Linked DNA regions of Danio rerio. The protein of the gene in region 1 purifies or fractionates together with the protein of each later gene. This does not show direct contact. Links are inferred from orthologs where the notes say so. Each region holds a gene or a part of one and is shown in the gene's direction. Other genes may lie near its edges.

The links. Proteins that work in one complex are often made in the same cells at the same time.
Region 2: the proteins of l3mbtl1 (region 1) and anapc1 purify together in Homo sapiens (affinity purification with mass spectrometry; 4 studies listed by BioGRID and IntAct, counting the BioPlex papers as one, with this or other methods). This does not show direct contact. The link is inferred for Danio rerio from reciprocal best matches to the Homo sapiens genes L3MBTL1 and ANAPC1.

The regions. Positions count from the first base shown.
Region 1 is NC_133198.1:4,293,865-4,297,716, forward strand, and holds part of l3mbtl1 (lethal(3)malignant brain tumor-like protein 1), read left to right. Parts: intron 1-1,402; coding exon 1,403-1,556; intron 1,557-1,886; coding exon 1,887-2,010; intron 2,011-2,747; coding exon 2,748-2,796; intron 2,797-3,852. UniProt on the Homo sapiens protein: Polycomb group (PcG) protein that specifically recognizes and binds mono- and dimethyllysine residues on target proteins, thereby acting as a 'reader' of a network of post-translational modifications.
Region 2 is NC_133188.1:50,698,626-50,703,060, forward strand, and holds the start of anapc1 (anaphase-promoting complex subunit 1), read left to right. Parts: upstream 1-1,378; 5' UTR 1,379-1,561; intron 1,562-4,435. UniProt on the Homo sapiens protein: Component of the anaphase promoting complex/cyclosome (APC/C), a cell cycle-regulated E3 ubiquitin ligase that controls progression through mitosis and the G1 phase of the cell cycle.

The DNA.
Region 1 (3,852 bases):
GAAGGGTATGCAAATAAAATTATTTAAGTTTTGTCTTAAAATTGGCTTTTGAGAGTATATAAAATAGAGTTATTTAAGAGTTGGCTTAAAGTTAGCAATGACAAATTCATTCATTCATTCATTCATTTTCTTGTCGGCTTAGTCCCTTTATTAATCCGGGGTCGCCACAGCGGAATGAACCACCAACTTATCCAGCAAGTTTTTACGCAGCGGATGCCCTTCCAGCCGCAACCCATCTCTGGGAAACATCCACACACACACTTACACACTCAGTCTGAGCTCTGAGGGGTACGTTAAGTCTCCGGCAGGCGAGAATCTAGCCGGAACTGGCCCGAGTGTGTTTTGCTATCTGGGTGGTTAGGCGTGTATCAGCAAACTAATAAAGCCCGAAAAAAGCCCTGACCTTAGCGAATATACAGTGTTCCACCAGGATCATGTATGTCAGAAACTATAGTTTACTGCTGAACTCATTTTGTCATGGTAAAATAACACAGAAATCGAATAATAACACTTCAGTCTCCTGCCGAAGCTCAGACGCGCTGCTTTGAGTAACTGTCAATCACAGCTGTCAATCACGATGACACGCCCAGCATTAAATTACTGCTAAAAACAAACTGTTTACAAAAATGAAGATCTGCACCTATTTCAGCACAATAACCAGTGCCTTTATCGACCAGAACCATCTTTCGGGACATTTTATTGCAAGTGTAATACATTTTTTTTATTTGGGCTCAAGTCTCCTACATTAACACGGAGGAGGCGGGCTTTATGACTTGTACTGCAGCCAGCCCCCAGGGGGCGATCTAACGGCTGAGACCTTCACTCAAACGCAGGCTTGCGGCACACTTGCTTTGGACTGTGGGGGAAACCGGAGCACCCGGAGGAAACCCACGCGAAGGCAGGGAGAACATGCAAACTCCACACAGAAACGCCAACTGAGCCGAGGTTCGAACCAGCGACCCAGCGACCTTCTTGCTGTGAGGCGACAGCACTACCTACTGCTCCACTGCAATGAAAAATATACAGAATAAAATTATTTAAGTGTTGTCTTAAAATTGTCTAAAAAGTATACAAAATAGAGTTATTTAAGAGTTAAATTAAAATTGTCCTTAAAGAGTTTACAAAATAGAATTATTTAAGAGTTAAATTAAAATTGTCTTTGAAGAGTATGCAAATAAAATTATGTAAGTGTTGTCTTAAATTTGTCTTTGAAGAGTATGCAAAATTGAATTATTTTTATTTTTAAGTGTAATTTTTTTTATTTAAACAATGAATATATTCAAGCATTTTTTGTTATGCTCTATGCACAAGTAGATTCTTGGCCCTGTAACATTAAAATCAGAGCAGCTGTCAGTAGTTGTCTGTCCAATGGCAGCGTCACATCAGTGTGTTCTGACCACAGACGTCTCAGCCGGTGGCAATGGCAGACCTGCAGCATTTCTGGAGGCCGACAGACTGCACAGAGCTCGTATAGAGGTGCAGGACAGTCCCGTTCACAGCAGGTGCGGCCAAAACATGCACATGACGGAGCTACGGGGAGAGCCGATGTCGGAAATGTAAATTCACTACACTGTTCTACTCATAGATTATACATGTGCACTGCAAAAAACACTGTTCTTACTTGGAGTTTCTGTCTTGTTTCTAGTCCAAATATCTAAAAGTTTTTTAAATCAACAAACATTTTTTAGACAAGCCAAAAATACTGTCTACAGTATCGCGTGGCATTGCTTTTATTTAAATCATGGTTTAAACCACGGAGGGTCAAACATTCTGCACCTTTAATAATTTTTAGATATGTGGACTATAATCAAAGTCTAAGTACGAAAGCCTTTTTTGCAGTGTGTTGAATGCATGAGGAGACAGATGACACTGTGCTGATGCTTCAGTCCTGCAGGCCTCGCAGAAGCACAGGTGATGTATCGTGAGCATGACATGATGAAGCCCATGAAGAAGAGGAAGAGGAGGGAATACAACAGCCCATCAGAGGACGACTCTGATGCCGAACCAATGGTGCACTTCTGCTAATTAATTCAGGCCTTCCTAGCGGGCACCTTGATGTCAAAATGACATCAAAAACATGCAAATTTAACACTTTACTTGTGGTTTTGTTATTTTGGTGGTCAAAAGAGCATCAGTCAAGGTTTTGACATCAAAACATTTTGCATTTTTGATGAGTTTTAGAAACCTAGGCTCATTCGAGATACATGCCCAGGGCTACAGTTTTGGGAACAGTTAAATGTGTGCCCGGGGCTATGTCTGCTGGTGTTTTTTTCACTAATCCACTAAAGGCCGCCATGTATATTTTTGACAATCTAAAATACATTACTGGGGCACTTTTTTTCATACGTGTCATTTACATATCCTTCTTGTGCACTTCCATGATAAAATGTCCTGTTTTTTTTAACCTGGTTTCTGGAACCGAACTCAAACCCTGGTGTACTCCACATGCCAAGTCCTACACCATACAAGGTAAGCTACTGAGCAAACTGATCGTGCAGGTAGCTTGAAAAGTAACAGAAGATTTCTGCGCCATCATACCGTCCAGTAGAGTTCGTATGCCAGGACATGTATTTGCAGGTTTCCAATAATGTAGCTCTGGGCACATATTCCCAACGAGCCTGTGTTGTTGTTTCTTAATTTTGTATTGATATCAAGGTTCGCACTGGGTTTGCTGTGCATTTAAATGATCTTGTTTTTCAAGATTGTTCTCCATTCTAATGCAACAAAATGCTCTCTTTTCATTTAAGGACGAGAAATCTGAGGCTTTGAAAATTGATGGCAGACAGATCAAAACAGGTACTTCATGACAGTCCACGAAACATTGTAATAGTTACATTAAACCATCACATAACTTTGCAATTTGTATTTATTAAATGGATAGTTCACCAAAACATAAACATTTGTTTAGTATTTACTCTCCCTCAAGTGGTTTAAAAATGTATAAGATTTATTCTTCTGTTGAACACAAAATGAGATTTAATGAATGTTGAAAACCTGTAACCATTGACTTCCACAGTATTTGTTTGTCCTACTATGCTAAGTGAGTGGTTTAAAGGTTTCTCCTTCTTTTGTGTTTAACAGAAGAACCTCATAAAGGTTTGAATAAGTAAAGGGTGTGAAAATGATGACAGAATTTTTAGTTTTGTATGAATTATCTCTATTGTTACATATAAGTAGCTTAACATATTAGCTTTTATTTCTGAAAATGTGCATGACTCTATTAGTATATCCAGATTTACTGAAATGAACAATGCCAATGTATGGACAGATTGTGCAAAGATTTGTGAATGAGCATACATTTTAAAATGTTACCGTGTTTTTATTCTATTATAACAGTTTATTATAACAAATTATATCATTTAAAAGACTTTATTAATGAATTAATGAATTCCAAAGCACTTATGAAACATATATATATATATATATATATATATATATATATATATATATATATATATATATATATATATATATATATATATATATATATATATATATTAGTGCTGTCAATCGATAAAAAAAAATTAACTAATTAATCGCACCTTTTTAAAAAAAATTTATCGCGATTAATCGCATGATCACGTTCATCAAATTTGCTAAGCTTCCTAAACTAAGCGTCCTAAAGTATTACTGTATTTCATAAGGATTCTGACACAACAACGCGAAGCATACGCTTTCGTTGCGTTTAATGAGGAAACACGCTAAACTTGGAGGGCTCATGCTGAAAGGCAGAGTAATGCCCTGTCCTTGACAGCTCGCGACTTCACCAGACGTTCTGAGTACATTTACATAAGACACCAATACTCTGATTTTAATATGATTAAGATTATACTCTTATTAAAAAACTACCGT
Region 2 (4,435 bases), on another chromosome or scaffold:
ACAGCTCCCATTGCAAGGCTTAGACACTTTGTAGAGAAGAATTTAACACAACTGCCTCTAGGAGTCGCCAATGGAAATAAAACAGACACGCACAAAAAATGTGCGTACGCCAGCCAGAAAGCTGCCGTGAAGCTGCGCACATTCCCACGTTCAGTTCATTGTTAGTAAATCCAAACGTGAGCGATTCTGAGCGTGAAACCTGGCGTACGCAAAGTTTTTGTGCGTACGCAGCGTTGATACATGAGGCCCCAGGTGATTTTACAAGAGAGTTAAAGGTAAAGGCCTACAAGTCTTTGGATGCCTACAACGTTGTTCTGTGTGGTCATGTGCTAGAAATAATGATCCATGATTACCAGATTCAAAACTATGTAGTGCTAAAAACCGAGGTTCTGCCTAGCCAAAGACAAGGAAAGAAGACGGAGCTGTACAGGGCCTGGGTAATCATCAACAAGCAAAACTACTGCATTCTGACAGCGAACTTCACCTGTACGGCAGAGTATGTGAATGCACATGTTTACATTTCATTCTAAGCATTCAATGTCCGCAGTTAAATTCACCATATATAACCGATTTTGCTGAAATCATTGCTGCAATCAAAAACGAGTAATGTGTATAATTCATAATAGCGTGAACTTACCTGATAGGAAATGAGAACTGCAGAGTCACGCATTTTTAATTAGGTCCTCACTCCATTCAGCTCTTATAATGGCTGTTAGCCAATAACATCTGCGGTTAAAAGCAGTGTGGTGTACAGTAAAAGTTACGTTTTCTATTTTTGGACTTACAAATTTGGTATCCTATTGCACAAATCGACATGTTTGCTATTGCAGCTGGTCCTTTTTTGCAACCACTATGCGCGGTTAAACCCTTGTGACGTAAGTTGGTAATTCCCCTATAGTGCATGTGTTTGGACGGTGGGGAAACCAGAGCACCCGGAGGAAACCCACGCCAACATGAGGAGAACATGCAAACTCCACATATAAATGCCAACTGACCCAGCCGAAGCTTGAACCAGCGACCTTCTTGCCGTGAGGTGACACTGAGCCACTGTGTTGTCCCAAATAATAATACAACATATATAAATAAATACAATAACAAAAATGAACAAATAAAATAAATAATAAACAAAGCAAAATAAGTAGCAGGGCAGTTGAAGCCCACAAATTAATTATCTTTTATCTCTCTTATTGTCTTCAAATATATCACAATTTTTTGAATTTTTGGGGAAATCTTGAAACATGTACATTTATGAATATCAAATATCAACAAAATATTTAGAATATAAAATAACCCCAAAAAAACCCCGCGTAAAACCTGCCTGCTTTCACGCGCTTCCTGGACGCAGCTCTCCGATTGGTCAGACACCCGGACGTGCGTCACGGGATAACAACATGTCCGCGTTCATTTGAAACAGAATAGTGTGCTCGGTTTGCTTTTCACCGCATACTTTGATGAGTTTGTACGTTTCTCCAAGTGAGCAGGAGATTGCAGAGGGAGAAGCATCTGTTAAAGGGAAGGACCGCACTCCAGGACTGGAAGATCGACTATTTGTTATTATCAGGTGAATATCGGAGCGGATGTTGCTAACTTAGCTGTAGCGCCGCGGCTAATGCTGACAGCATGACAGACCGGGTTTATCATGAAGTTTTACATATAATTATCATCAGAAAAAGAGCTCATGTACAGTGTTATCTATGTTTTTACTTACTGATTTATTGAAAGGGTTAATCGCACATCATAAATATATCTGCTAACGTTATTTGGCGAACGATAATGAATTGAATTGTCTCTTAATGTCGTATTTTTTAACGTTACTTATGAAATTGCGTGAACAGTTGATGTGCAAGTACATACTGACAGATATTGAGCTAAATTAGGGTTTATATTCAGACTTTTACCATTTCAATATAATTTTCAGAAAAGTATTCTTTGGTAATTCTCAAAAGGGAAATTACATTAGCTGCCAATGTCTATCAGTACATCATTGTTACTGATGTCTTTGCATTGTCTTCTATCCATCAGTGACAGTATATCTTTTTAAATCAGATTCATTTACAACATTTGGTTGAAACATTTAGTTTCAGTTTGCTGTTTTGTAGTTTAACATTAAAACAAACTACCCCCAAAAAAACTGCCTCTCTTCTATAAATGGATGGGGGGCCACCTTTTGCCTGCGGGCCCTAGTTTGGGCATCTCTGATATAGGGACCGTGTTCAAAATCTTCTGAACTGAACAAATGTGCGAGTATAAACTTTACATCAGTCTGATAGATTGACAAAAGTAACCCTAATATATGACAGACATATATGTGACAGATATTTGAGCAGACAGGCTGTGCAGGCATGAATATTTGGCAGTATATTTTTTGTAATGTATTGTAATAATGATTATATATGTACAGTTGTATAAAATATATTATCCCACCTACGAAATGAATAATTTTCCAATCAAGTGTTGTTAAACGGGGTAAAAATCTTTTTAAAACTTTTTTTCCCCTATCATAATAGTTTTAATAGCTAATTTTTTTGTTTTTGTTGTGATGACTGCATATTATTTTAGTAGTTATTTTGTAACAGTATTATTCAGCTTAAACTGCAATTTAAAGGCTTAACTGCGTTAATTAGGTTAACTAGGCAAATCACTGGATAACCATGGTTTATTCTGTAGACCAGTGGTCACCAAACTTGTTCCTGGAGGGCCGGTGTCCTGCAGATTTTACCTCCAACCCTAATCAAACACACCTGAACAAGCTAATCAAGGTCTTACTAGGTATACTTGAATCATCCAGGCAGGTGTGTTGAGGAAGTTGGAGCTAGACCCTGCAGGGACACCGGCCCTCCAGGACCGAGATTGGTGACCCCTGCTGTAGACAATCAAATTTTAGTTTTGTAATGTGGCTAAAGTTTTTACATTAAGAAAAGATGTGTATTTTCAATCCAGCCGAACTAAAAGGAATACGACTTTCTTCAGATGGAAAGTTCTTGCTCTGTTAAACATCACTTGGAAAATGTTTTAAATATATAATAAAATTTTCTTATTGGAACTATAGTCAACATTTGAAGCAGATCAGCAAAGTTAATCCAAGTTGTCCTAAAACAAGGGTAGGTATTGTTTAATCCACATTTTGATAGCTTTATTAAAAAAGGAAACAAAAATGAATATACAGTTGGGGAAAATAAGCATTGAACACATCCTGTTTTTTTCCTAGTAATAATATTTCTAAAGGAGCTGTTGACATGGAATTGAAGTAGATTTTGATTATAACCCAAATAATACAAACATAAAAATTAAACAAAACAATCTGATAAATGAGTTATCTGTAATAACAATGAAATGACACAAGGAGAAAGTGCTGAACTACTGAAATGTATTTAATGCTTTATATAAAGATGTTTTAGTGATGGCAGCTTAAAGACGTCTCTCATATGGAAAATAAAGTCGCATGCATTGCTCAGGTGTGAGTTTTCTCACAGACTTCAACAGAGTGTGAAATTCTTGATGGTTCTGTGGGTCTCGATTGTCAAATCTGACCTTTTTTCTGTATTTTCTATCGGATTCAAGTCAGGTGATTGGCTGGGCCATTCTACAGCTTGATTTTCTTTCTCTGAAAGCATTTGAGAGTTTCTCAGCTGTGTTTTGGATCATTGTCTTGCTGAAATGTCCACCCTGGGGTCCGTTCTTCGTACCTCGCTTAAATGATCTAAGATGATTTGGCAGATCCTGGATCTTTTAATCTTGATATCTGATCTCTCGCTAATTTGGTTCTTCAAACAAGTTCGCGAATCAGATTAGAATGTCTGGATGAACTGATCTGAGATCGCTGCGTGTGTTATGAAGGACAGATCTATCGATCCTCGAAATCATGATCAGCAATGCAACGATTGGCTGACGGCACAGCAGCGTAATGACATCATCTGATTAATATTCAATTATCCATGTGAGCAAAATTACATCAAATTAGCAGTAAACGGTTTGTGAAATATGACACGCAAGGACTTTCCACATTTGTTATGAGCTGCTTTACACTTTCATTTGTCAGGACAAGAGTATTCATCATGTATTTCCATGCAAATCAATGTATTTAGTTCTTCATTTAGAAAAGATTTTCTTTATTATAGTAGCAGTTTTTTTAATCGGTGTAAAGAATAACTGGTTGTTTACAAAAGCATTTTCATATTGGTAAAGGTGTCTGCAACTTTTGTGAAGCATCAAATCACTGGCATATTAACTGTCAAAACATGTTTATGACTGCATTAATGTATTATTGCTTTAAAAAAAAGTCACATATTCTGCATTTCTATTATACACAATTTGTACTAAAGCGATTTAAAAAGTTCATATCAATAAGTTTTCTCTTTGCACCACCAGGTGGCAGTCTTTGTACTTTCATTTCGATGGTAAAGATTGCATAAGTTTTATTAATATGTATAACTTT